7 linked regions of the Callithrix jacchus genome follow. The protein of the gene in region 2 purifies or fractionates together with the protein of the main gene of each other region. This does not show direct contact. Links are inferred from orthologs where the notes say so. Each region holds a gene or a part of one and is shown on either strand. Other genes may lie near its edges.

Evidence for each region.
Region 1: the proteins of MPHOSPH6 (region 2) and C1D purify together in Homo sapiens (co-immunoprecipitation; 3 studies listed by BioGRID and IntAct, counting the BioPlex papers as one, with this or other methods). This does not show direct contact. The link is inferred for Callithrix jacchus from reciprocal best matches to the Homo sapiens genes MPHOSPH6 and C1D.
Region 3: the proteins of MPHOSPH6 (region 2) and EXOSC2 purify together in Homo sapiens (affinity purification with mass spectrometry; 8 studies listed by BioGRID and IntAct, with this or other methods). This does not show direct contact. The link is inferred for Callithrix jacchus from reciprocal best matches to the Homo sapiens genes MPHOSPH6 and EXOSC2.
Region 4: the proteins of MPHOSPH6 (region 2) and EXOSC7 purify together in Homo sapiens (affinity purification with mass spectrometry; 4 studies listed by BioGRID and IntAct, counting the BioPlex papers as one, with this or other methods). This does not show direct contact. The link is inferred for Callithrix jacchus from reciprocal best matches to the Homo sapiens genes MPHOSPH6 and EXOSC7.
Region 5: the proteins of MPHOSPH6 (region 2) and DIS3L purify together in Homo sapiens (affinity purification with mass spectrometry; 3 studies listed by BioGRID and IntAct, with this or other methods). This does not show direct contact. The link is inferred for Callithrix jacchus from reciprocal best matches to the Homo sapiens genes MPHOSPH6 and DIS3L.
Region 6: the proteins of MPHOSPH6 (region 2) and EXOSC3 purify together in Homo sapiens (affinity purification with mass spectrometry; 6 studies listed by BioGRID and IntAct, counting the BioPlex papers as one, with this or other methods). This does not show direct contact. The link is inferred for Callithrix jacchus from reciprocal best matches to the Homo sapiens genes MPHOSPH6 and EXOSC3.
Region 7: the proteins of MPHOSPH6 (region 2) and EXOSC1 purify together in Homo sapiens (affinity purification with mass spectrometry; 5 studies listed by BioGRID and IntAct, counting the BioPlex papers as one, with this or other methods). This does not show direct contact. The link is inferred for Callithrix jacchus from reciprocal best matches to the Homo sapiens genes MPHOSPH6 and EXOSC1.

What each region holds. Positions count from the first base shown.
Region 1 is NC_133515.1:45,822,784-45,825,858, reverse strand, and holds the end of C1D (nuclear nucleic acid-binding protein C1D), read right to left. Parts: intron 1,419-3,075; coding exon 1,254-1,418; 3' UTR 568-1,253; downstream 1-567. UniProt on the Homo sapiens protein: Plays a role in the recruitment of the RNA exosome complex to pre-rRNA to mediate the 3'-5' end processing of the 5.8S rRNA; this function may include MPHOSPH6.
Region 2 is NC_133521.1:39,719,622-39,724,015, forward strand, and holds the start of MPHOSPH6 (M-phase phosphoprotein 6), read right to left. Parts: upstream 2,820-4,394; 5' UTR 2,781-2,819; coding exon 2,730-2,780; exon of another isoform or gene 2,486-2,729; intron 1,377-2,485; exon of another isoform or gene 617-1,376; coding exon of another isoform or gene 614-616; intron 1-613. UniProt on the Homo sapiens protein: RNA-binding protein that associates with the RNA exosome complex. Involved in the 3'-processing of the 7S pre-RNA to the mature 5.8S rRNA and play a role in recruiting the RNA exosome complex to pre-rRNA; this function may include C1D.
Region 3 is NC_133502.1:179,354,160-179,358,451, reverse strand, and holds the start of EXOSC2 (exosome complex component RRP4), read right to left. Parts: upstream 2,844-4,292; 5' UTR 2,835-2,843; coding exon 2,713-2,834; exon of another isoform or gene 2,373-2,712; intron 1,112-2,372; coding exon 1,010-1,111; intron 1-1,009. UniProt on the Homo sapiens protein: Non-catalytic component of the RNA exosome complex which has 3'->5' exoribonuclease activity and participates in a multitude of cellular RNA processing and degradation events.
Region 4 is NC_133516.1:27,748,643-27,752,264, reverse strand, and holds part of EXOSC7 (exosome complex component RRP42), read right to left. Parts: intron 2,440-3,622; coding exon 2,316-2,439; intron 950-2,315; coding exon 794-949; intron 205-793; coding exon of another isoform or gene 112-204; exon of another isoform or gene 93-111; intron 1-92. UniProt on the Homo sapiens protein: Non-catalytic component of the RNA exosome complex which has 3'->5' exoribonuclease activity and participates in a multitude of cellular RNA processing and degradation events.
Region 5 is NC_133509.1:13,339,032-13,343,157, forward strand, and holds the start of DIS3L (DIS3-like exonuclease 1), read left to right. Parts: upstream 1-1,250; 5' UTR 1,251-1,274; coding exon 1,275-1,413; intron 1,414-1,537; exon of another isoform or gene 1,538-1,746; coding exon of another isoform or gene 1,747-1,834; exon of another isoform or gene 1,835-2,083; intron 2,084-2,590; exon of another isoform or gene 2,591-2,591; coding exon 2,592-2,745; intron 2,746-4,126. UniProt on the Homo sapiens protein: Catalytic component of the RNA exosome complex which has 3'->5' exoribonuclease activity and participates in a multitude of cellular RNA processing and degradation events.
Region 6 is NC_133502.1:144,772,732-144,776,813, forward strand, and holds the start of EXOSC3 (exosome complex component RRP40), read right to left. Parts: upstream 2,815-4,082; 5' UTR 2,795-2,814; coding exon 2,465-2,794; intron 1,800-2,464; coding exon 1,650-1,799; intron 1-1,649. UniProt on the Homo sapiens protein: Non-catalytic component of the RNA exosome complex which has 3'->5' exoribonuclease activity and participates in a multitude of cellular RNA processing and degradation events.
Region 7 is NC_133513.1:90,258,763-90,262,384, forward strand, and holds part of EXOSC1 (exosome complex component CSL4), read right to left. Parts: intron 2,633-3,622; coding exon 2,599-2,632; coding exon of another isoform or gene 2,592-2,598; intron 1,644-2,591; coding exon 1,593-1,643; intron 830-1,592; coding exon 745-829; intron 1-744. UniProt on the Homo sapiens protein: Non-catalytic component of the RNA exosome complex which has 3'->5' exoribonuclease activity and participates in a multitude of cellular RNA processing and degradation events.

The sequences.
Region 1 (3,075 bases), on a different chromosome or scaffold from region 2:
GAAAGAGTTCAACATGCTTTTCAAAATCCATTACATTTTAAGACCATTTCCAATATCTGCTATCATAAATCAAGAAATCCATTTATTCAAGGTTACTTATGAAGAATTAATCACACAGAAAATTTTAACAACTGCTTTTTCAAAAATTAAAGTACTTTACTATACTTGGCATTCCTACACATAATGATACAGATTCAAACACTGAAAGCATTAAGGGCATGTAATTAAAATTCATGGGCTTAGACATTTTTAAAAAGGTTTACTATGTAGTATTCTCTGTAACTAATTTCCAGAAAAATAAATCACAATATAAACACAATGTAATCTTCTTTGGACATCTCCTCTGCTTAAGTGGCATTATGTAACATAAGACATTGTTCCAAAACACTTGTATGTACTTGATACAGCCTCAAAAACATGAAATGAAAAAAAATGAGATGAAAAGAACTATGGACACCATGCAACAGGAACAATAACCCATAAATTTCTCTATTTGTGATGCTTCTAAAACCTAGCTTCCTAATTTGAAAGGCAAATTTACTCAAAAGATAAAAATACACAGGTCAGTTATACAACATTTTCAGCCTTTATTGAGAGAGTATAGTCATCATGCCAAAATTTATCCATCAACATACAACTTTATTTCCCATCTAAAGTTAATGAGAATGTATTTTATTTTAAATGGGACACAGAGGCAACATGCCAAGAATTAAAGTACAACTATAAAGTTTTAGTTTCACACTCTGAATATCAACAAAGCAGTAATTCCTAAAATCATGAAAACATGATCAAGTAACTAAACAGAAAAAAAATGAACATTTAGTTCATTTCATGCTTTCTTAATGTCATATAGTGAAAACAGATATACCTATAATTTCAGTCTATAGAAAGCATACTTCATAAGGTCATTATTCATTTAAAATAGTACAAATGTTTACAAAGAACATTTTACTTAAATTTCACAGTTGCTTATAAAATGATTCTTGCAAGATTGACCTATAGAAAGAAATAAGAGTTTCATCAAAAGAGATGGTAAATTATAAATATAAAATATATCACAATGTTTAAATCCTCATAATGCAAATCAAGAAAAATAACAATCTTTGGAAAGGAAAGTATTCAGCTTTACAAACTTACTGTAAATATATATATTAATTCAATAAGAAACACATTTAAACTTTGCACTGCCACAGAATTATTTTGTGGAAAAAAATGATGTACTTTTTGAATATATATACATCAAAATCAAAAAGTTAACTTTTACTTTTTCCTTTATTGGCAACTTTTGATGCATTTTTCGGTTTTGGTTCCCAGAGAGCATTTTTTACAAATCTTGAAGCTGCACCTCTATCCAGCTTGCCAGCCTTTTTCTTGTCTGTTATTTCCTTGACTCTGTTCATATATACTCTGATTCTTTCCTTAAAGATAAAAAAGAAAGGCAGGCAATAGATTTACTAAGCTGTTCACCATGACTAAGTTGTATTATACTGTATCTCAGTTAAATTCAACATATTGCCTATTGAGTGCATGGTGCTAGGAAGTGCAAATGAATAGGAAAAACATGCTCCCTGCTTGCCTGAAGTCCATAGTCAGAGGGTGGGGAGAGACAGATGTTAAAAAGTCATTTCAGAATTCTGTTTCCAAAGAGGAAGAATCATACTGACATCACTCCAGAAACAAACATTGAATTGAAACTTTCTAGGTGGTTATACATTTTGTAATCACCATTAACATAAATCTACATATTAACTGTTTTGTATCTAAAGTAAAAAACCTGAGCTCTCATAAACTTGCAAAATACAAACTAAATTAACCTGAATTTTTTCTAAACAGGAAATACATGGTTTTTCACATTACCATCTAGTGTAACAATTAAAATAGGAAGAATGAAAATACAAATTATTCGGTTTTATAGTTTGATTGGTAAGTACGTGAAATTTTCTTTAAAAATACAGTTCTAATCAGACTTTACCAGGTGAGAAACATAGTATGTTGCCATACCACCTTGAATCTTCTGAGACCATGAATCAGCATAAATGGCTATCTTATACTTCAAATGGAGAAGGTAAAGTTGTTAAGAGCCATAAAACAGCAGAGTAAAAGACTGATCACTGTTTAAAAATAAGCTTTACACAGAAAACGCATACACAGAAAAATGTACATTCTTATAATGTTTTCATTGTGAAAAACTGGCAACTCTGCTCCACAGTCTCTAGTGGCGCCCCATTTCTGTCTGAGTAAAAAGCACAGTGCTTACAATGGTGGATACCAGCTGCAGCACACACACACCAACCCTGCCTTGGGGTCTTTGGCCTCCTTATTCCTCAAAGAGTATTTCCTCAGTTACCCATACAGCCACTCCCTCTCTTCCTTCTAGTCTACTCAAATGTTAACCTTGTCAATGAATCTCTGACTTCAGCATTTAAAACTGCAGTCCTTCCCATCTCTCCTCTCTCCTCTCTCAAAAAAAAAAACAAACACTGCCGTCCTACCCAAGCACTCCAATCCCCCTTACCCTACTCTTTTTCTTTGTTCCCATAACTTTCCAACATACTACATATTCATACATATCTCTTCTTTGTTCACTTTATTATGTTTATTGTTTGTCTCCCTCCATTAGATACAGTCTGGTGTCTGCCACAAGGGCAGGGATCAGCTTTATTCACAGAGGAATCATCTCACTTGGAAATAATGCCTAGTTCCCAGTAAGCACTCAAATATTTGTTGAATAAGTAAACTGACTTTTCCCATTTGTGATATATAGGGCAAACAGGTTTCCTATCACACACTAACCCTGTGATCAATCAGTAACATCTACACAAGGTCAGAAAAGGGGAACAGGTTTATGCATGCTTTTTATTTACCAACTCTTATCTAGAATATTAACGTACTACTTCAGAAGGTAGAAAGAAAACAAATGATCTTATCCTTTCACTAAAACAGTATCAAGTACTCCAAATAATGTTAATGGAAAAAAGACAAACTGTATCTGAAGTCCATATTTGGAAGCTGAAAACAGACGATACAACTCATCATTTTTAAGGTTTAAAGCCATATCATTGGTCAAACCAAGAT
Region 2 (4,394 bases):
GAAGTTCAATTCTCTTACTCTAGAGCATTTCAGAACACATTCTAAAACTAGTGAGGACTCAGAGCAGACATCAGCACAATACAGTCCTCAGGCTGGATGTCTGTCGTTGTCGATAAAGTTTTACTGGTACACAGCCATGGTCATTTGGTCTGAACAACAATGGCAGAGCTGAGTAGTTGTAACAGAGATTGCCTGGCTCATAAGCCCAAAATATTTATTATATGGTCCTTTGCAGAAAGTTTGCCAAGCCCTGTTCTAAGAGTCTAATAGTGCTAAAATCACAAATAAGCACCCTCTCTACAACCATTCCATACTGACAGACCTTCTATCCACATCCTCCTTTTTCTGCTTCCCATCAGGATCACCCCTCAATGGCTTACCAAGTCAGAAGCATTCAAGTGAGTCAGGATTAAATCCTCAACCCTCATACTTGCCATAAAAAGTGGTTCCCAACCTTTTTGGCACCAGGGATTGGTTTCCTGGAAGACAATTTTTCCATGGGTGGGGTGGGGAGGGGGGGACAAATGGTTTAGGGATGATTCAAGTGCATTACATTTATTGTGCACTTTGTTTCTAATATTGTAATATGTAACGAAATAATTATACAACTCACCATAATGTAGAATCAGTAGAAGCCCTGAGCTGGTTTTCCTGCAACTGGGACAGTCCCATCTGGGGGTGATGGGAGACAGTGATAGACCATCAGGCATTAGGTTCTCCTAAGTAGCGTGCAAGGTAGGTGGCTCGTATGTGCAGTTCACAGTAGGGTTTGTGTTCCTAGGAGAATCTAATGCTGCCACTGATCTGACAGGAGGCAGAGCTCAGGTGGTAATGCAAGCTGTGGAGAGCAACTGTAAATGCAGATGAAGCTTCCCTCACTTGCTTGGCTGCCTGCCACTCACCTCCTGCTGTGTGGCTCAGTCCTAACAGGCCTGGACTGGTACTGGTCCATGGCCCAGAGGTTGGAGACTCATGCTATATAGGACTTAGCTCTGGCTATGGCACTCAAGTGCAGCTGCTCCATGCCTTTTCACAGTATACTCTGTTCAGTTAGTACAGGTAGTGTCTCCTGCTATCTTGCCAGTAAGTTCTTTCTTATCGATGACCAAAAGCTTCTAAAACAAATAGAGAACTTGGGTGATCTTCTTCTCTCTCCTTTGCTTCCAATGTTCAGTTGGGTCTCCCCACTTGGTGGGGGTGGACACTTATTTTAAGTTAATGTCCTCCTTTTTAGTTGCAACTCAGATCTTTAGTTTGAGCCTGAGTCACGTAGTACATCATCTGGCTTATTCCAAGAGCTAAAACAATTGCTAATCTTTTCAGTATCTGCTTGGCCAATTCACTCCACTTCTCTGAAATTAATGTTATTACAAATCCTAAAATCAAAAGCAAACTCTGTTCAGTAAAGATTCAAATTTTGCTATTATCCATGAAAGTGCTTGACAAACTATAAGTTATGCTACAATTTATCCTCATTCACCCATTCATTGTTTACTCTCTAATCTTTCTCGTTTTGAGACAGGGTCTCCCTCTGTGACCCAGGCTGGAGTGCAGTGGCACCATCTCAGCTCACTGTAGCCTCGATCTCCCAGGCTCAAGCAATCCTCCTACCTCAGCCTCCCAAGTAGCTGGGACTACAGGTGCATGCCACCACGCCTGGTTAATATTTTGTATTTTTTGTAGAGATGGGGTTTCACCACGTTACCCAGGCTGGTATCAAACTCCTGGGCTTAAGCGATTTGCCTACCTCAGCCTCCCAAAGTGCTGGTATTACAGACATGAGTCACTGCGAATGGGCTCTCTCTCCAATCTTTCAAAACACTATGAATAGCTTCCTTCCCTTTTTTTTGGAAATTCCACCTCTTTAAACATGACATGTAACAGTTTGCTACTCTCTATTAGTAGTGCTCAGTGAGAGGCATTAGAGTAGTAATAAAGAGCCAGGGTTCTGGAGCTAGACTGAGTTCCATCCCGTCTGCACTACTTATTAGCTGTGTAACTTTGGGTAAGTTACTTACTTCCGTTTCGGTTGCCTTAGTTGCAAAAATAGAGTTACTGCCTGTAGTAACCTCAAAGTGTCATTTTGTGAACTGCATAGGTTAATATATGCAAAACACTTAAAACATTATAGAGTACCCCAAAAATGTAAATATTTGCTATTTTTGAGCTTTCCATTGCTCACAAAATAAAGGAAAATATCCTTAATCAGGCCTAAAATTCCCTGCACGTTGTGACCATGGCCTACTCTGCAACCTCATTTCTTAGTATTTGCCTTCCAAACATACGGAATTATCTCTAGTTCCTGGAAATCTCCATGCTTTTCTTTTTCCTTCTTGCCTCTGGGACTTCTGAACTCAGTTTCTCGTACTTTAAGACGCTGTGCCTCCCACCCTCCCAGTAACCTAAAGGGACCACGACTCCGCGAGTTCAGTGAGTTCCCAGGGTCCCCGGCGCTTCTACCCTCACTGAACTTGGTGAACTGTACCTTGACTGCTGCTTATGTGTATATAAGCTCCGATCCGCCCGCGGGCCTCCCAAGAGAGTCAGCCTAATTCACAACCTGGTTCCCAGTAAACAGTGCAGAGCAGGCGCTAAGTGAATGAATGAGCACAAGAGCTGGAAGCCTTTGGGGCCTCTCTGGTGTCCCCCGTCCGCCCGCCGCCTCGGCCCAGGTCAAGTCGGAAGGACCGGGTGCCCCTACCGCCCGGCGTGGCTCAGCGTCCCCGCACCTTCATGCGTAGCAGATTCTTGGACAACTTTGACTTGCGCTCGGCCGCCATGGTGGCTCCCGCCCAGCGCCGCACTCGGCCGCGATCCTCACCGCACATGCGCGGAGCCGCGTGCGTAGCTGCGTCGCGTGTGTAACGTGCGACGCTCCTCCCCACCCCGCCCTGCCTCCCCGCCCGGTGTCTCGCGCGCGGGTGCGGCCCCTCTGTGGGCGTTCTGCCGACTGAAAGGCTCGGGTAAGCGCGTGGGGCAGTCGCGCGGGGATGAGCGCGGCAGATACTAAACAGGCCCAAGTCAGAGGAGGCCCCCCAGAGCCTTGCTGCCCCGAGCTGTGGGCCGCCCTCCCGGGACGTGGGCCTGGCCACCTCGAAGGCCTATCCTCCCTCGGGGACCCCCTTCCTCAGGCACCCCCTCCAGACTCAGTAGTCCTCGCCGGCACCATAGGTTCCCGCGATGCCTGCCACCCGCCCGGGCAGGGTTAACTACGTGTTTGTCTTCATAACGTGAGTGGCGGGAGGGGCCACGTCGTTTTCAGTAGGACCCCACGAGTTGCTCCCGTCCTCACAGCCGCCCGGAGTCCCGGGGGAACGCGGCCGGGGCCGCCCCAGGCAGTCTGGCTTCCGGTCCCCGCGCAGAGCCACCTTCCACCCGCCGGCCCCTGCGGGTGCGACTCTGGCTGAGGGATCTCCGCTAAACAGAAGAATTGCAAGAAGCAGCAAGAGATGGAGGCAGGGATGGGTGCCAAACACACGCGCATGAGAGGAAGGCCTGGTTTTGATGTAAAGAATTGAAAAGACCAGCCTGGGCAACACAGGGAGACCCCATCCCACCCAACCATAAATAAACAAATAACTGGGTGTGGTGTCTTGGACCTGTGGTCCCCGCTACTTGGGAGGCTGAGGCTGGAGAATTGCCGGAACTCGGGAGGTCGAGGCTGCAGTGAGCTGAAATCCCGCCACTGGACTCCAGTGTGGGCTACAGAGCGACATCCTGTCTCAAAAACAAAACAACAGAGCAAAAAAGAATTAAACACTGAAAATAGGGTAGCGTTCATACCCCGTTGTTTAATGCTCTGGGTACCACCTAAAGACATTTTCGAAAGCCATTCCCAGGTCGATGCTGTGGAACATCCGAAAGCTAGTAGCATCTCAGCTGACAAGCATGGGCTCTATGTCAGATTCTTGAGCTGGGCACTTAAGAGTAATTAGTTCACTTAATCTTCATAAGAGCGGGAAGAAGGTATCGTCATCGTGTTGTTAGGGATTCGAGACCGCGGGTGAGGGACTTGCTGGAATTCACACAGTTACTCCATATCAGAGATGAAATTCAGAAACCGATTGGGATGTTAAAAGCCCTTCAGGTTTTCCCAGGAATAAATAAAATGTTAATGTGCTAAGTAGCTATAGAATCTCATTCACTTGTGACTGTGTGTGAGATACTGGGACATAATACCGTGTAAAAGCGTATCCCCACTTTTCCGGAAGCTGGCATTCTGGACATAAATAAGTGATGAATGCTGTGAAAAAGAACAGTGACATGATAGAGTAAAGTTTAGGGCTACTCTAGACAAGGTGGCCCGGAACGGCCCTTGTCAGATGATGGTGCTAAGGCTTGAAAGTTGAGAAAAACCTGTTGTATGAAGAGTTGGAGGTAGAGCGTGCTCAGGA
Region 3 (4,292 bases), on a different chromosome or scaffold from region 2:
ACAAAAACCCAACACCTTTTCATGATTTAAAAAAACACTCAGAAAATAAAATCGCTCCTCCACCTTCCACTGCTACCAATTTAGTCCAAGCCACCACCGCTTCAGATCACGAGTATGGTCCCCAATCCATCTCCCTAAGCTTGCCCTATCCCCCTTCAATCTCCCATCAGTAGCCAGAGTGAGCTGAAGTCCAGATCAAGTCTCTCCTCTGCTCCACCCCTACGAGTGGCTTCCCAGATCATGCAAAATAAAAGCCAAAATGCTTACAGTGGCAAAGAAGGCAGGCGCATGTCCACCCACCTCAGCTCTCAGCCTGCATCTGCCCCTACTTTCCGCTTCACTCACTCTGTTCCAACCCTACTGTCTTGCTTTCTGGGGCTAACCTTTATTAAATGCTTCTAAGTATCAGGCCCTGTGCTAAATACATGCACCATCTCACTGAATTCTAAAAAATCCTAAGCCAGGAGCAGTGGCTCATGCCTGTAATCCCAGCACTTTGGGAGGCCAAGGTGGGGTGAATCACCTGAGGTCAGCAGTTTGAGACCAGCCTGGCTAAGATAGTGAAACCCTGTCTCTACTAAAAACATAAAAAAATTAGCCAGGCGTGGTGGCGAGCACCTGTAATCTCAGCTACTTGGGAGGCTGAGGCAGCAGAATTGCTTAAACTTGGGAAGTGGAGGTTGCGGTGAGCAGATGGTGCCACTGAGCTCCAGCCTAGATGACACAGCGAGATTCCCTCTCAAAAAAAAAGAAAAAATCCTATGAAGTAGGCCATACTATATAGTCACTTTCAGAGGACGTAACCAAGGCTTGGAGAGATGACATAACATGGGGATACCTCTGAAGCCTGCGCTGCTCTGCACCACCCACCTATAGTCATGGTCAAAACCGAAGACTTACAGCAGGATGCGGCAGGCAGAGGTAGGGTGGGGGATAAGGGGAGGCAGAAAGAGCCTGGTCATACAACCTGGATGCCACAAGAAAGGGAATACACACCTTTTGTTCTCACCTGGTTTTCAAAGCTTTCACACAGATCAACTTGTTTACTCTCTCCACAGAGCCGGCAACAGACGCAATGAGTTTCTCCTCTCCCATGTACGTTCCATGGCCCCTGACGCAAGGCAAAGACACAAAGAAAGGATCCCAGGGTAACTTGCGGTGCTCTCTCTTCAAGAACAAGGTGTTCCTCAAAGCTAACAGGCTGCCCCTGTGAAGGCTGGCTTTTGGGCTGGCTGCTCCCTCTGCCTTCGTGCTCCTTGTTCAGACATCTACTTGGAGGTCACTCCTCTCACTCAGGTCTGCTCAGATGGCACTCTCTCCAGCAGGCCCACTTGGACTAGGCCACTGAAAACAGCCCCCCCCCCAACCAGGTTGCCACCCTCCCACCATCTTCCCACCACATTCCATTTACCCTGCTCCACTTTTCCCCCATTGCATTGACTGCCTAATGTTCTGAATAACTTATTCGTTGCACTTATTGTCTATCTCTGCCTGTTAGCACTCCACCAGGACAGAGATTTTTCACTCTGCTGTTATATCCCAACTGCACAAAATGTAAACATATGTTGAAAGCATTAATCAAAGAATGAATCCAAAGATTTCCTAGGGGCTGGGCATGATGGCCCACACCTGTAATCCCAGCACTTTGGGAGGCCAAGGCGGGTGGATCACTTGCAGTCAGGAGTTCGAGACCAGCCTGGCTAACACGGTGAAACCCCATCACTACTAAAAATACAAAAATCAGTCGGGCGTGGTGGCAGGTACCTGTAATCCCAGCTACTTAGGAGGCTCAGGCAGGAGAACCGCTTCAACCCGGGAGGCAGAGGTTGCAGTGAGCCCAGACAGCACCACTACATTCCAGCTTGGGAGACAAGGCCAGACTTCCTCTCAAAAAGCGGGGGTGGGGGGGAGATCTTCTAGGATCCACTAACCTTAAACTAACAGGTTAAAGGGCAATGCTATGAATGTTGTGCCCCTTGTATATATACAGGTACAAAAAAATAAAAGTTTGAAATACCACTAGTGTTAACTATGATGATGATGTAATGGCTGGTTATACTTCTTTTCTTACGTAATGATCTCATTTACTCCTCATTACCGTATCATACTGTTGTTATTATTATCTTACAGAAGAGGAAACTGGCCAGGGCAGAGGCAATGCCGCTAATAAATGCGATGGTAGCAGGACTGGAAGTAACCCCAATTATCTGACTCAAGAGCCTGCCCTCTTAACTACAACGCACTGTACTGCACCCCTTAGCTTCAAACTGTGTGTAAATGGGTGCAGGCAGCGCAATGTAACGGTTTGCCCTAAGCTCGAACAATTAAGGATTCTAAACTGAAGAGAAGGAGACCAAGTCAAGAACGCTCACCGTCCCCTCAGACAGCTGAAAACTGGAAAGACAGCCTGCTCCTAACCCTCTCCAGTTTTCCAGGTCTCCTACAAGGAAGCCTCAAAGATTTGGACTTCGGGCAGAAAACCCAAAAGTCACAGCCACCGGAGGTCAGGAGCTGAAACGAATGCAGACGGGGACACACAAGATGCCGGGGGTAAGAAGCACGAGGCTCGGAAGCGAGGCGAGTAGGATGCTCAGGCGATGTCCCGTGGGTCCTGCGGTGAGTTATGGACACTCAGGGATACGAGGCGTGGGCCACGTGCAGAGAGCCCTGAAGCGCTCTCTGAAGCCTAGACTCCCCCAAGTCTCCACGTACCGCATGAATCCCGTGTCCGTAGTGATTGTGTCCCCCGGAACCACTAGATGTTTCTTAGTGTCGCGGCCCAGTCTCTCGCTAAGAGGCTTGCGAGCCACTGGAAGCCTCATCTCCATCGCCATCTTGGCGCCAAAGAGTTGCGCAGACGCAGCTCAGCCAGGAGCCGCAATATCCGGCTCCGCAACTCCCGGCCGCGTCCTGAGGGGCGGGGAAGGGCGGGGACTCGGTGCAGCGACCAATGAGAACTCACGACCTGGAGGCCATGTTTACAATTGGCAACCATAAGGCGAACACGAAGGGAAGGGAACCGAGCTGCCATGTTTACTATTGGTAAGGGAGCACCCTTGGAATAATAAAATCTCACGTCGTTTGACTTTTTACCAAAACTCTTGTTTTTTTTAAAGATAGGCTTTCACCATGTTGGTCAGGCTGGTCTTGAATTCCCGACCTCAGGTGATCCGCCCACCTTGGCCTCCAAAGTGCTTGGATTACAGGAGTGAGCCACCGCGCCCGGCCACCAAAACTCTCTTGTACTTATCATCCCATTTATTGTTTACCAGGGTTAGAAATAATTGAAAAACGGAATTCTGAGTTTCTGTCCAATTCTAAGCTGCTGAAATCCGATATTTTGTAAGAGAGAGCTCAGGAAGATGAAGAGATGGGATCTACAGAAACACTATTTGAACAGAAAGAAGAGCCCCTTTCCACACCATTCCTAGTAGTCCCAGTATTCTACGTCCCTGCCGCCCCGTGGATGCTGGCTCAGCAGCATCATCTATAGCCCCCAAACCGGGCTCCAGATGCTTCTCACTTGGTTCTGTCTTTTCATAAAGACTCCTTTGAGCGAGCTAATTTATGCCAATATTTCTTCTGGAAAAAAAGTAAAAAATCGTCTAAGAAAACAGTATACTTGCAAGCCAGTATATCTGGTAGGGAAGGCAAGTGCGCACATAATACAAAGATCTTGGCTTGCATTTAGTCATACAGCAAATTGAGCGCTCTCTGTGTGCCAGGCGCTGTTCTAAGGATTCAGCGGGGAATAGACGGATGTCTCTGTGGATTTTTCTGCTGCTCCGTTTTATTTATTTTATTTTGAGACGGAATCTTGCTCTGTCACCCATGCTGGAGTGTAGAGGCGCGCTCTTGGCTCACCGCAACCTCTGCCTCCCAGGTTCAAGCAATTCTCCTTCCTCAGCCTCCCAAGCAGCTGGGATTACAGGTGCATGCCACACCGCTGGGCTAATTTTTGTATTTTTTAAGTAGAGACTGGGTTTCACGATGTGTGTCAGGCTGGTCTCAAACCCCTGACCTCGTGATCCTTCCGCATCAGCCTCCCAAAGTGCTGGGATTACAGGTGTGAGCCACCGCGCCCAGCTGCGGCTCCGTTTTGATAGGAACGTACCCCTCGCCCCTTCTCCCCCTCCCCCACTATCCTCTCGCTCTTCTTGCCCTGCATGGTTTGCAGCATTCACAAGAAACTAATTGGGGAAGATAATTCCCCATGCACGGGGACTCTAAAGAGGGTTAAATGAAATAATTTGCATCAGCTGTGGTCAGTAAAGCAGGTAAACCAAGTCCAC
Region 4 (3,622 bases), on a different chromosome or scaffold from region 2:
AAGGAAGAGTGCTTGCTACTAAGCAATGATCTCTGGGCATGCATGGTGATATAGAGGTTACAAGAAAGTATGAATAATCAAATCCAGCTCACTCTGTTCCTGGAAGTTCCGTCAGTCAGTCAGAAAGGTGAGGTGGATGGAGGGGAAGGAAGGTCTGGAAAACAGGTGAGCAGAACCCTGTCCCTGCCCTGAAGGACTTCCAGGCTAGTGAAGTGACAGACGTGGGGAAAACAGTACAGAGAACTTAGAAGTGCCCTCATGGCTCTGACAGGAATGGGGACAACCCACTCCCAACTCCAGGGGGTCGGATTTCTCACCATCCCTGCTTGTCTCCATTTAAACACTTCTAGAGTTGTAATGAATTTGGGAGACAGCCACACTTCAACCCCTGCTTCCACCTTTACTCACCAACTTCAAGGGACAGGAAGCAGTGAGCCAAGAATTCAATTCCTTCAACAAGTCACTAAGGCCTGTGATTTTGGAGTTACGAGTGGCTCTTTCCATTATGGAAGTCCAGCAGTCTTATTTAGACACACAGAAATGAGTTGCAGGGGGACTTACTGAGGATAAGCAATGGTTGCCAGTAGGCTCCTTACCTCCCAGTCCAGAGTCTCCACCCTCCAACCCTCCTGGTTAGGTCAGCAGACCCCTGGCTCAAACCAACTGTTCTCCAAGCTCCAGGTTTGAAGTCAAGGATGTGAATGGGAAGAATCCCCACGGTGTAACCAAGTGGGCAGGAAGCAGCAGGTGTCCCGGCCAGGTCCCCACACCATCCACAAAACCAGGGCCTCACCTCCATCATCTCGAAGATGCTCTCTGGGTCCAGGCTGCCCTTCCCCACTTTCCTCAAGCACGTCACAACTCCCTTGCTGGTCACCGACACCAGCAAGCTGGCCAAGGAGCAGGCCTCCTCCTGAAGGGTAGCATCCACCACATGCCGATAGCCAATCTGCAAAGGCAGGGTACACAGCACACAGGGGTCACACAGGCTCCAGAGCCCCACTCTTGATGGCCTCGTGGTGGGAATCTCTACACCAGGCAAAGGATTCACATAGGTCATTCCAGGTCTTATTTTAGATTCTGCTCATGAGGAAAACAGTTGAAGGAATGTTCAACAATTCTCATAGGCCACTGTGTGGGTGATACAATAAAAACATGACACGGAAAAATAGGGCAAGGGGGTTTAAAACTAGAATTCAGAGACCATCCAAGACAGAGGCCACAGAGGCTTTCCAACAGAGGGGCACAAGGGACAAATTCCACACAATGCCACATCGATGTTTCACTGATGGCAAGGAGGAATCAAGAGGCCCATGCTAAGGGGCACACTCAAGAACAAGCCAAAGGCTGGTTGCAGTGGTTCATGCCTCCCAGCACTTTGGGAGGCTGAGGAAGATGGATTACTTGAGCTCAGGAGTTTGAGACCAGCCTGGGCAACATGGCAAGACCCCGTATCAACCAAAAATACAAAAAAAATAGCCAGGTGTGGTGGTGTTAGCCTGTGGTACAAGCTACTCAGGAGGCTGAGGTGTGAGGGCTGCTTGAGCTTGGGCCTGGGCAGGTGGCGGGGGTGGGTTGCAGCAGAGGTTTCAGTGAGCCTAGATTCTGCCACTGCACTCCAGCCTGGGTGTCACAGGGAGACTATTTCTCAAAAAAAAAAAAAGGCAAGACCCAATACCCTGCTGTCTGAACACTTCACCACATCCTGTTCATGAAGTTATTTCAGTGGAATTAAATCTGACCAGTTTAGCTTTATTTTAAGATAATGAATCCTGAGTGGAATTAGCTACAATCCCAGTTAATAGCCAATACAGGTCTCTTTGCACAGCCTGGGGCAGCATTAGTTATACGTCACATCAGCCAGATGTTGAGCTCCACAGCCCTCTGCTCTATAGGAAAACCACTCCTGACACCGAAGACCTGCTCTAATCTCCCATTTCATAGAGGGGGCATTGTTTGCCACCCTGCCACTACTCAGCCACCCTAAGCCCAATAGAGTTGAGGCAATTAAAGGACACAGTGCTTTACTGAAGTACATGGTATGTGGAAGGAGCTTAACAAACTCTGGCTACTATTACTACAAACACACTCCTGGCTCCCAGGCCACATCATATCTTCCAACTAAAAAGAAAAGAAAAAGCTACTCATGGTAGTGTTTTTCTAATATAAGCAAATTATTGGATCTGGGTTAAAGCTATTTCTATATGGTGTGTGATATTATAATTTATCAACCTATTAAGTAATCTCAGCAGATTGCGATTAGAGGAGACCCACATCCACAGGGAAGACAAAAACCATAAAATACAAGCTTATACCTTGCACAGAGTGACAATGCAGGGAACATTCTCGACACTTAGTCGTATGCAGTCATAAGGGTCATCAGACAATTCAATGTCCTTTGACCCCTCTTCGTCCTCCAGAACTCGAACCCTTGGTATCCTGGAAACAGAAGCACAATTAAAATTTCCATTTACTGTGAGGAGGAAAAAACACTTCTTTTTAAGATTGAGAATAGGAGTTAGAATCCCTGTGTCTCAAAGAGAAAGGTACGCTATGCCTATCCTTTATTATCTTCGTCCCTGTCAAAAGCATACGGGAGGCACCACAGTCCAATGAGGAGAGGCATCTTTTAGAAAATAATGCTGGGTCAATCAGATATCCAAATGAAGAAAAATGAACCTCAATCCCTACCTCACACCACACACACGTGAAGCGGTACCAAATACACCACAGATATAAAAGTGAAAGATAAGACAATAAAGCTTTTAGAAAAAAACATCTGCATGACCTTGGAGTAGACAACTATTTCTTAAACAGGATACAGAAAGTGTTATCATAAAAGGGAAAAAAGTTATAGATCCAATTATATTAACATTATGAACTTCTGTATATCATTTAAAAACTAACAACACAGAAAATGGGTGGGTCAGCCCTTGAAAGGTCCTAAGATCTGAGTGTGAGTACTATATAAGCATAAACTGGAGTGCAGTAAACCTAGGAATCCTCCCACAATTGTTTATTTGAGACACAGTCTTGCTTCGTTGCCCAGGCTAGAGTGCAGTGGCACAATCCCAGTTCACTGCAACCTCTGCCTCCTGGGTTTAAGTAATTCTTGTGCCTCAGCCTCTCGAGTAGCTAGGATTACAAGCATGTGCCCCTATGCCCAGCTAAGTTTTACATTTTTAGTAGAGACAGGGTTTCACCATGTTGCCCGGGCTGGTCTTGAACTCCTAACCTCCAAGTGATCCACCCGCCCTGACCTCCCAAAGTGCTGGGATTACAGGTGTGAGCCAGCGTGCCTGGCCTGTTTTGTTTTTACAGAGAAATGGGGTTTCACCATGTTGCCCAGGCTAGTCTCAAACTCCTGATCTCAAGCGATCTGCCCACCTTGGCACTGCAAAGTGCTAGGATTACAGATGTGAGCCACTGCACCTAGCCTATTTGTTTATTTTTTAAAAACATTTCCCCATCACTTATTCCAGATCCCAGAGCAAACTCCCTCTGCTCTCAGATCTTGACACTAGATATATATTCCACAGTTTCAGTCCCAGATCATACACTCCAAGATTTCTCATCCATATATATGTGGACGCCATCCTTTCTAAAATCTAAACATGACCTC
Region 5 (4,126 bases), on a different chromosome or scaffold from region 2:
GGCACGCACCACCATGCCCAGCTAATTTCTTGTATTTTTAGTAGAGACGGGGTTTCACCATGTTGACCAGGATGGTCTCGATCTCTTGACCTCCTGATCCACCCGCCTCGGCCTCCCAAAGTGCTGGGATTACAGGCTTGACCCACCGCGCCCAGCCCCCAGTGGTAGTTTAAAGGAGAAATCTTTTGCCAGAGGCTGCAAATGCTATAAAAGTTGGAGTGGAACAGTGCTTGCTTCAAGGGAAGAAATTGGTTTTCATTTTATCTCCATTGTTTGAATATATAGGTACACCATAAAATCAATAGGGATACCAAAATAAATATTTTTTTTTTTTTTGAGCCGGAGTTTCGCTCTTGTTACCCAGGCTGGAGTGCAATGGCGCGATCTCGGCTCACCGCAACCTCCGCCTCCTGGGTTCAGGCAATTCTCCTGCCTCAGCCTCCTGAGTAGCTGGGATTACAGGCACGCGCCACCATACCCAGCTAATTTTTTTGTATTTTTAGTAGAGACAGGGTTTCACCATGTTGACCAGGATGGTCTCGATCCTTGACCTTGTGATCCACCCGCCTCGGCCTCCCAAAGTGCTGGGATTACAGGCGTGAGCCACCGCGCCCGGCCTAAAATAAATAAATTTTAAAACTACATGAAAGGCCGGCCGCAGCGGTTCACACCTGTAATCCCAACAATTGGTGAGGACGAGGCGGGTGGATCGCTTCGGACCAGCCTGGCCAACAGAGCAAGACCAGCCCCCCATAGCAACAACAAAAAATGACTTTTTAAAAAAATGAATACAACTTTTTAGAATGTTAGGCTGGCAGGATTGCCAGCTTATTTGCTGAGTCTTTTACCTCGTTTAGAGCTAGCGAGAGCAATGAAGAGAAAACATTCATTACCCGGTATTAATATTAATACGGCGGCTTCACTCGCACATGGACCTGGGGGGACAGTCCCCTAATCTTGGACAGCTGCTCCCCGCCCTTCCTCACCGGCCGTCCGGGTATCTCTCTAGTCTTCCCTCCGTCTCTGGGGTGAGTCGTTTCCACCCCTCCTCCCTGGTCCAGGCTACTACGGGAAGGGAAGAAACTGAGGCCGGAAGGACCGGGAGAACCGGGAGGGCCGGGCCCAGCCGGGAGCGTGTGGCTCCGGGCCTCCCCGGGGCGCGGCCGTTAGGGCGGTTCCGGAGCCGCGGCGCCCAGGGCCGAGGGGCGGGCCCGAAGTCACGGCCTCGCCACCGCCGCGCCCGCCGCTCCGCGGCCTCCCGGCGCCACGCCGCCATGCTGCAGAAGCGGGAGAAGGTGCTGCTGCTGAGGACTTTCCAGGGCCGCACGCTGCGGATCGTGCGCGAGCACTACCTGCGGCCCTGCGTGCCCTGCCACAGCCCGCTCTGCCCGCAGCCCGCCGCCTGCAGCCACGGTCAGGCCTGGGCGGGGGCGGGCGGGGGCGGGCGGCCGCGGTGAGGGGGTGAGCGCGGCCCGGAGGCGGAGCGCCAGCTGCAGGGGCACTGGGGCCTAGGCCCTGCGGCCCGCGCCCGCCCCCCGGCGTCACCCCCGTCTCTCTGCGGGTTGGGACCCAGCGGCCCGGGTCCGCGACTTCTGGGGAGCCCCGCGCAGGACTCCCCGACTGCTCCGCCCTGTCCAATGGAAAGGCCGGAGAGACCCGCGCCCCAGCCCGGAGGCCGCGTGGTTCGGCTCCTCAGAGGGGCCGGAGGGCGCGGAAGCCGAGGCCTCCTCCAGCCGTGGCGGTGAAATGGGGAGGTCCCGAGCTGGGAGCCCCCGGGAGCTTCTGGCCAGCTGCTGCCGCGGCGGAGCTGACATCGCCTGCTTTGCAGCCTCAGGTTTCCTGACCTGCGGGCACTGGTGCCCCAGACTTTTCCCCCGCAGATTTGTGAACTATCAGGGCAGGCACTGGGGAAGAAGGTCAAAGGGAAGTTGGACTGGGGACTCCTGAGCACCCGTCCTTGGTTTCTAGGCTGCAAGAGTGGCGGATAGAACGATGCACGTTATTGGTTCTCTTTCCCCCATGGGAGGATGAGCATTGGGGGTTTGGAATCCTCCAAACTTGGTGGTTAAGGTGAACATTTCAGGTAGAGCTTGGTTAACCAGTTATCAGATGCGGGCCTGGTGGAAACCCCATCTCTGCCCTCTTGCTCGCACTGAGCATTTTCTCAATTCAACCCTTGTGGCCCTCGGCTGCTGCGCACTTGGAGAAGCTTGACACAGAGCCTACTTGAAATTGCTGGGCATCATACACAAGTGGTATAAATTTGGGGATGCTTCATTTGAACGTATTTGTCAATGATGAGTTAACACTGAAATATTCAGGTTATGCTGAAAATGTGTCATCCTCTCCTGTACCTCTGGCAACACCATAAACCGCGTTGAGCTTGTATTTATCACAGCTTCAAAAAAAAAAATAAGGGTGCTCAATATACCTGAACTTTGGGCCTCCACCAAAGTAGATTTGTCTTTTAAAAACTCCCACTTTGGAGTTAAGACTGGAAGTTATTTTGCGTGCTAGGGCACGATGACATTTAGTCATAAACCAGGTTTGGAAACATGGTCTGATCTCTTACATTTTGAATTATGTTTCAGATGGGAAGCTCTTGTCTAGTGATGTGACTCATTACGTGATCCCAGACTGGAAAGTTGTTCAAGATTATCTTGAGATCCTTGAGTTTCCTGAGTTGAAGGGAATTATTTTTATGCAAACAGCTTGTCAAGCTGTACAGCACCAAAGAGGCCGGAGGTATATGTTTTGCCTTCTTTATTTCTATATGCCATAGGTTCTCCCCACCTTAGAGAAGGTCTCTTGTTGGAGGGGGACGGGAGGAATTCATTATTTTGTCAGAAAGGACTTTTCAGACTGATTTCGTATTCTCTTTGATAGTGAGGAATGCGGTAACATTATTTTATATTTCTGCTTCAACACCTGGCCAAGAGAGCTGACTGTAGATCAATAACCTGCAGTGTCCCCAGTCTGTGGGTATTTAAGATTCTAGTGTGAATTGGCTTTTGGCTTGCATTTTTATAGTGGCAGGGTTATTGCTTATTTCTTGTTGATAATGTGTATTGTTTAATCTTATTTATAGATACATTGTTTCAGAAGCATACATTCTTTTCTTGGGGAAAAGAGTACTTTATTTTTAAATTTTAAACTCTTGTTGTGGATGCAAATTGTACTTGTAATGATTTATTCAATGAAACCAGAAATAGCATGTTTTATTTTCAGATTACTAGTGTAACTACCAGCCCTAGTCACTGTATTTGCTGAACAAAGGATTTCTCATTGAACCAGTCTAAAATTCTCGCCTTGTACTTAAATGAAGAATAGTTGTCTATCTTTTAAACAAATACTTTGAAAAATAATTTCGCTTCCTTTAACATTGGGAAAGGTTTATGACTTGAACTTAAGACTGTATGGAAATGGCATATTAGAATTATATGTCCAACCTCTTAACACTGTAAGTTATTTAATAAGCACAAACTACACATTTATTCTTTTTAAAAATGTGGTTTCTTCAGGTCTTGGTAATAAAAGATGAAGTGTTTTTATTTGTATATGAAAATGACAAATTGTCCTCTTATTACATGCTCAGTTCAAAAAACGTACATTAACCAGATTGTGTGCAGCGTTTTTCAGATAGAATATTTTTAAATGAGCATCGAGTTTATTTTGTTCAGACACCAAGATATAGATGTTTATACACATCCAAATTTAAATGCTGCTCCAGGTGTCGTATTTCAATTTCTGCTACTAAAATCAATTCGTTGTTATCATTTGGATTGCTAACACACTGCCAGCCTTTTCAACTTCTGTTTTCTAAAATATTTTTAATGTTAAGGATTGTTTTAGAAACTAATTCCTGGGACATTTAAAGAGAGAGAGTTGGAATTTAAACGTCTTTTCTCCTGAACATTTCAAGAGTAGTTAACTTGATGAAAAACTATTGGTTTTCCACTGCTTTGTCATGTCTTTGAATATACTAAATGTGAAAACAAAAGATGAGGGGTTATGAAATAGGGCCATATGATAATACCCTGATTTCGTTGGTTTGGTAAGCACTTTTTGAGCTCTTAGTTCTAGGCCTTGGAGAATAAAAAAGAAGTCTTAGTCCCTCTCACAACAA
Region 6 (4,082 bases), on a different chromosome or scaffold from region 2:
TTCCCACAGCCATCAATGCCAGCCACCTACAGTTCTGTGGCTAAGGGACTGACTACACTACAGGATTTCTACAGTCACTTTGGAGTTGAGTCTTGTGAAAAAAAGGAACGCATGTATCATTCCCTTTCACCAACCAGGAAATCACAGAGGAAGAGCCATCTGAAGGCCAGAGAACACCTCTAGGGTTGCACTGTCCAATATGGTAGGTAGCTAATTATCTGAACTCACATTTAATTAAAATTAGATACTTAAAATTAATTTCCTGAGTTGCATTAGCCACATTTCAGGTGCTCAACAGCTAGTGGCTATCATACTAATCAGTAGAGACATAAAACAGCATCACTATGGAAAGATGTATTAGGTGACACCACCCTAGAGAATTACAGATTTACAGAGAGAGGAAGGAACTCACAGCATGCGAATTATTCAAAGCAAAACAAAATAATTCACTGACACTTCTCCCTGCAAGATTACTTAAAAACCTCATAGAGCTAAACTTTAAAGTGATGAAACTGAGGAAATGGAGAGTGAACTCGGTTTACTCAACAAAATGTGTTAAGTACCTACTGTTTGTTGGTGACTATGTAAACTATAGAGGAAGAAAACATTCTCCGATTTTCAGAAGCATTTGGTCTTGGAGGGCAGTTGGGAGGTACATATACTAAATCCAGTAAGTGCTAGAGAAAAGATAGGAGAAAAGTGACAACTGGGGATGGCTTTAGAGAGGTGGTTGTGTTTAGCCTAGGTCTAAAAGATGAGAATGTGTTCCACAGGCTGAGAAGGAATAGTGCAATCCAGAGGGAACAGCATGTGCAAAGAAATAAGGGCAGGAAATTGAGTTTAGTGGTTTTTGGTGTGATTCAAGTAGGGCTGCATGAAGGATATAATTAGGGATAAGGAAAAGACACCTGAAGTGTAATGCCAAGGAATTCTGTAGATTTTGGATAATCTTGTTTTTTCTTTTCCAGAAAGTGACTGTGAGGATGTCTGCTCTCAAAACCCTGGATGGTAAGGTAAAAATGTGGAGGCAAGGATTAATGTGACTGAGTCCAGTCAAGACGGAGCTAAAGCCTGAACTTGCAAAGTGGAGATAAAGGGATGGACATACCAAAGATCAGAGATGGAATCAAATAGGATCAAAATAGGGTTAGGCAACTAAATATGCATGAGAAGTGAATGAGAAGCAGCAAAGAAATCACTAAATGTCGGGCTGGGGTAGACAAGAGTGTGGCTATGCTACCTGAAAAGCCCAATCTGAAAACCCAAGGCAATAATATCACTCCTCTCTCAGCTCCTAGGATCTACAGCCAGGATGGATGGATAGCTGATAATGCCAAAATGCGCACTACTTTTCCCTCCTCTAAGCCTACAGAAGACTTCCTTGTCCAGAGGATGTGGACATAACACATAACAGAGATGACAGATAACTCAGTAGAAATGAAACATGCTAAGAACAATGTAGTCAATGTAAAGTAAGTATGTGGCTCTGGTCCTGGAGCATCTGAAGAAACTCTTGGAGCCTGGGGCAATTGCATGCACAGAAATCTAGGTCATGCTTTGGAGACAATTCAGGTAGCCTTCTGGAGATATGAGTCCTTCAAGGGAATGGATGTTTTTCTTGCTTTGAAACCAAAGGCTCCCATCATTACCTGCACATTTGGTCTGTTTCTTTTAGTTGCACCTTCAAATGACAAGTAAGACAAAGAAGCCGGCTCACTCCCTCCAACATCAACTTTGAATATATCTCCAGATTTAGCTGTCACTATGCCAATCACATGGTCTCCTTTCACTGGAACATACTACAAAAGGAAACAGAATGAGAAAACAGTCATAAATAACAACATACCATTGGAAGATACCTTCAGCAAGTCTTTTGTGGTTACCTTATTGTCATTAAAGAGAAAGAAATTTGATCGTATGCCGCTTTTGGTAAAAGAAAATCACATAAAGTGTCGGGTTTGCAGCTTCTGGTAGTCTGTTAATTGAGCCCAAACCCCGTATTTCTTCAGCACCCCAAAGAGTAAGTCCCTAGCTTTGTAGCATAAATCCAGTGGCAAAGGAATCCTTACAACCAAGGAAGCCCATTCCATAGTTAGACATTTTTTTTTCTGTATGAAAGTTCTTATCTGTCCTAGGAGAAATTAACTCCCCTTGACATCCACTCATTCAGCCTGGTCCTGCCCTCTGAGACTCCAAAGGGAAAGTCTGCTGCTCCCTGACCTTTGGGGTTTTGAAGACTATAATCATGACTAACGGTCTCCAAACGTTTTTCTCTCCTGGTCGCCCTTCTCAGGGTATGTTCCTATTGTTCACGGACCCTCTAAAGGACATGAAAAGTGGGCACAAGACTACGGTGGTACTAGGGGCTCTAGGTGCCTGAACAAGGAGGGCTTCAGTGTCCCATCCTTTCTTCTTTTGGGAGGTCTTCTTAAAGCAGGGCTACCACTCCGGAGTCCCAGCTTACCCGCTTCTGCTGAGAGTCCACCCAGTAAACGCCGCCGCCGCCGCCGCCGCCACCGCCGGGCTCTTTGTGACGGAGGCGGCCGCACTTGGTGACCAGCAGGCGGTCCCCACAGCGCCGCAAGCCCGGGCCGCAAATAACGCGCACCCGCGAGCAAGCTCCAGCATTCAGGCTCAACGGTCGCTCCCCTGCACCGCCAGGGCCTTCCGCGTCCTCCTGTTCCGGCAGGAGCAGCTCCTCACCCGGGAGCACCACCTGACCTAGTACTGAGCGCGCAACGCGCGCCCCGCCGCCCGCGAGAGATTCAGCAACTACTGATACACCTTCAGCCATTGCGGACGCCCGCAAACACCGTTTCCGGTATTCGCCTTCCGCTTCCGCACCCGCCCTTGATGACTTTCCGGTTCCGGCAGTAGTGGTCGGTTGAGTTGACCAGTTTATGAAGCTTCGTTGCCGTCAGCTCACAGGTGCCCGTCCGAGGTGGCTGTAGCCAGCCATCTATCTTACAGGCGTGAGCCACCGCGCCCGGCCGAACTTTTATGTTTTTTAGGATTGAGACAGATCATCTTCAACACACCCTCCAAATTTGGCAAGCCATTTTCCCCGCTAGGTGTAATAGAAGGCCAACAAATAAAAGGGGCTCCCACTTCCAGGTTAGTTTCCCTGGCAAAAATGGGAGCTCCTGTGGCAGAGACAGTATTAATTGTGCTTTTCTCTTCCCCACTCCAGAAGTATTGGGTGACCCTGCCTGCCTCAGTGTTGGCAGGATCAACAGCACGGCTGAAGGGCGCTCAAGGACCTCACATTCGGGCCAGGCAAAGAGGCAGGTGGGGAAATGTTCTCTGAACTGTCCTTCATTCACCCCACGTCGGTAGTGAAGTCTTTGGAAGAAACTCGGATCAGAGCTAGCAGAGGCCGCACATGACGCGCGGCGTAGCGCTCTAGCAGGTCAGCAGATGAAACAGCTGAGGCCGGGATGGAAAGTTTTCTCGCGACCCGAGGGCCGGGGCTGGGCCACTCCTGAGCACCACCCACCCTGACACGCCCACAGCGGGCGGGGCGCGAGGAACCGCAGCCAGCTTACCTGGCCGTGCGCAGCTGCGTCGGTGCTTCGCCGCCTCGGGGTCTTGCGCCCTGCCGAGAGCTAGCAGCCGGTGCTGGGCGGCGGGAATTCGTCCGCTGTTAGGTGGGAGCCCGAAGCCGCGAACGAGTGTTTGAAACCCGGCTTCAAGCCCTCGAGGGCGCGCGGGTTGGTCCTAGGGTCCCATGGGTCACGGTTCACATTTTCGAGCAACTCGTGCTTCCTCTCTGGTTATAAAAGTGGGAAAAGTGCAACGATTGGGGAATAAGGAGGAGGCTTTGCCCTCCGCCGGCGCTTGTGTTTCCCTGCTGATCGCGAGGTGGATTACGCCCGGTTCTCTGTCAGGCTTGCGGGTTTGGAGCCAAAGCAGTCGAGGCTGCTCCCCTTTCCAGTGCCTCTGGCCTATGCCTCCCCATTCGGAGTGTAACCAGGTCCCTTGATATTTAAGTACTCTGTTTTTTTTTTTTTTTTCTGTTTTGTTTTGGGTTTTTTTGAGACAAAGTCTCGCTCTGCCACCCAGACTGAAGTGTAGTGGCGCGA
Region 7 (3,622 bases), on a different chromosome or scaffold from region 2:
TAAAGAATAAACTTTGTTCATTCTACTGACTTAAGAAGCGAGTCCCATTTCCTTGGATTTATATGAGGAGAATCAGGCTGGGCGCAGTGGCTCACGACTATAATCCCAGTACTTTGGGAGGCCAAGGCAGGCGGATCATTTGAGGCCGGGAGTTTGAGATCAGCCTGGCCAACATGGTGAAACTCCGTCCCTACTGAAAAAACAAAACTCAGGCCAGGGCTCACGCCTGTAATTCCAGCGCTTTGGGAGGCTGAGGTGGGTGGATCACCTGAGGTTAGGAGTTCGAGATCAGCCTGGCCAACATGGAGAAACCCTGTCTCTACTAAATAAACAAAAAAATTAGCTGGGCGCTGTGGCAGTTGCCTATAATCCCAGCTACTCAGGAGGCTGAAGCAAAAGAATTGCTTAAACCTGGGAGTCGGAGGTTGCAGTAAGCTGAGAATGCGCCATTGTACTTCAGCTACTTGGGTGATGAGAATTACCTGAACCCAGGAGGTCGAGGCTGCGATGAGTGGAGATTGCACCACTGCACTCCAGCCTCCATGACAGAGAGAGACCCTGTCTCAAACAACCAGCACCACCACCATCACCACACAAAAAAGAAAAAAAAAAAACCATTCTCATCTCAGAACGAAATATCTATGGCCATACTGCTTCCCAGATAATGAAATCAAGAAAAACAATGGATTAATCCCAAACCACAACTCCAGGGAAAGTAAGGATGTTGAAGCAAGGCCACCTCACCTGACTCACTGTGGGCTACCACCACTCCCAGCTCGTTTTCGGCAGTGGTTAGCAGGTAGTTGGACTGTGCGTCACCTAGGGAGATCTAGTCACATAACACTGGTAAAGGAAAATGAGGAGTTAAAAGTCTTCCCTCCCACCATAGCCACCTGAATTGTTTTTCTACTTCTGTCTCGTTTTTTTTGTTTGTTTTCAGATGGAGTCTCGCTCTGTTATCCAAGCTGGAGTGCAGTGGTGCGATCTTAGCTCACTGCAACCTCTGCCTCCTGGGTTCAAACGATTCTCCTGCCTCAGCTTCCTGAGTAGCTGGGATTATAGGTGTGCACCACCATGCCCAGCTAATTTTTCTGTTTTTAATAAAGAAAGGGTTTCAGGCCAGGCGCGGTGGCTCAAGCCTGTAATCCCAGCACTTTGGGAGGCTGAGGCGGGTGGATCATGAGGTCAAGAGATCAAGACCACCCTGGTCAACATGGTGAAACCCTGTCTCTACTAAAAATACAAAAAATTAGCTGGGCATGGTGGCGCGTGCCTGTAATCCCAGCTACTCAGGAGGCTGAGGCAGGAGAATTGCCTGAACCCAGGAGGCGGAGGTTGCGGTGAGCCGAGATCGCGCCACTGTACTCCAGCCTGGGTAACAAGAGCGGAACTCCGTCTCAAAAAAAAAAAAAAAAAAAAGACACGGTTTCACTATGTTGGCCAGGCTGGTCTCCAACTCCGAACTCCTGACCTCAGGTGATTCACCCAACTCGGCCTCCCAAAGTGCTGGGATTATAGGCGTGAGCCACTGCACCCAGCCCCCATCTGTTCTTTTGACAAAGGACCAGAATTCTGCTGGGAATAAAGGATACCACTTTGGCCAAGACAATGTCACCTGGGCGGAAACTCTTATAAATTTCAACCTGTAAAGAAAGAACAGGAATGGTAAGTGAAAGCTCTAGACTGGGTCTACATGAAACTGTGAACCTCTCTGGTAAAGCCAGTCTACTTTCTAACCCTAGAGGGTAAAAGCATCATTACTTATGTAGTTAACAACTTTTAATTGCTTCTATAGTATTATCATACAAATGAAAGTCTTTTTTTTTTGAGACAGAGTTTTTCTCTCTTGCCCAGGCTGGAGTGCAGTAGTGCGATCTCAGCTCACTGCAACTTCTGCCTCCCAGGTTCAAGCAATTCTCATGCCTCAGCATCCTGAGTAGCTGGGATTACAGGCGTGTGCCAACATGCCCTGCTAAATTTTATAATTTTAGTAGAGACAGGGTTTGACTATGTTGGTCAGGCTGGTCTTGAACTCCTGACCTCATGATCCGCCCACCTCGGCCTCCCAAAGTGCAGAGATTACAGGTATGAGCCACCGTGCCTGCCCCCAATCCTCACTTTTTTTTTTTTTTAAGAGGTGGGATCTTGCTGTTTCACCCAGGCTGGAGTGCAGTGGCGCAATGGTAGCTCATTGCAGCCTAGGACTCCTGGACCAAGGGATCCTCCTGCCTCAGCCTCCCAAGTAGCTAGGACTACAGGTGCATGCCACCACATAACCTCAAACACCTCAGCTCAAGCAATCCTCCAGCCTCATCTTCTCAACCAGCTAGGACTACAGGCATGAGCCACCATGCCCAGCTAGTTTTTAATTTTTTATACTCGGATGCTGATCTTTTTGCAGAGATGGGGTCTTGTTATGCTGCCAGGGCTGGTCTTGAAGTCCTGGACTCAAGTGATCCTCCCCCCTCAGCCTCCCAAAGTACTGGGATTACAGGTGTGTGCCACCATGCCTGGCCTGAGGTAATACTTTTAAAGGATTAAGAGTCATAAAGCCATTTAAAAAAAAAAAAAAAAAAAAAAAAAGAACCAACCAACAACCTTGTCTTTTTCAGTTGCTCGGATATCTTCCTTGCTATAAAAAAAGAATTAACATAAAGATTAATTATCTGTGAGAAAGAATTTGTTTTTTGTTGTTCATTTGTTTGTTTTTGAGACAGAGTCTCCCTCTGTCACCCAGGCTGGAGTGCAGTGGTGTGATCTCAGTTCACTGCAACCTCCGCCTCCCAGGTTCAAGAGATTTTTCTGCCTTAGCCTCCCGAGTAGCTGATATTACAGGTGTGCACCACCACACCCGGCTAATTTTTGTATTTTCAGTAGAGACAGGGTTTCTCCATGTTGGCCAGCCTGGTCTTGAACTTCTGACCTCAGGAGATCCACCTGCCTCAGCTTCCCAAAGTGCAGGGATTACAGGCATGAGTCACCTTGCCCAGCCTGTGAGAAAGAATTATCCTGTAGATTCCTAGTAAATAAAGAGCTACAAGAACAGACAACAAGTCTACTTGGGACCCAGCTGCTACCCAGAGGAGCAGGGTGGAGCAGCAGTATCAATACCTCAGATTTGGCAAGACAGGATAAGGAGTTTCGGTGCCTCAGGGCATAAACAGAAGCACTAAAGCAAGGGTCTCCAACTGGTGGTGGGTCTGTGGCCTGTTAGGAACCAGGCTGCACAGAAGGAGGTGAGTGGCAGGCAAGTGACAGAAGCTTTATCTGTATTTATAGCTGCTACCCAATCGCTTACATTACTGCCTGAGCTCCGCCTCCTGTCAGATAAGGGCAGGCATTAGATTCTTATGGAAGTGTGAACCCTATTGTGAACTGTACGTATGAGGGAGCTAGGTTTCCCACTCCTTATGAGAATCTAATGCCTGATAATCTGTCACTGTCTCCCGTCACCCCCAGATGAGACTGTAGTTGCAGGGAAACAAACTTAGGGCTCCCACTGATTCTATATTATGGTGAGTTGTATAATGATTTCATTATATATTACAGTGCAATAATAGAAATAACATGCACAATAAACATAATGCACTCAAATCATCCTGCAACCACCCCCACCATGGTC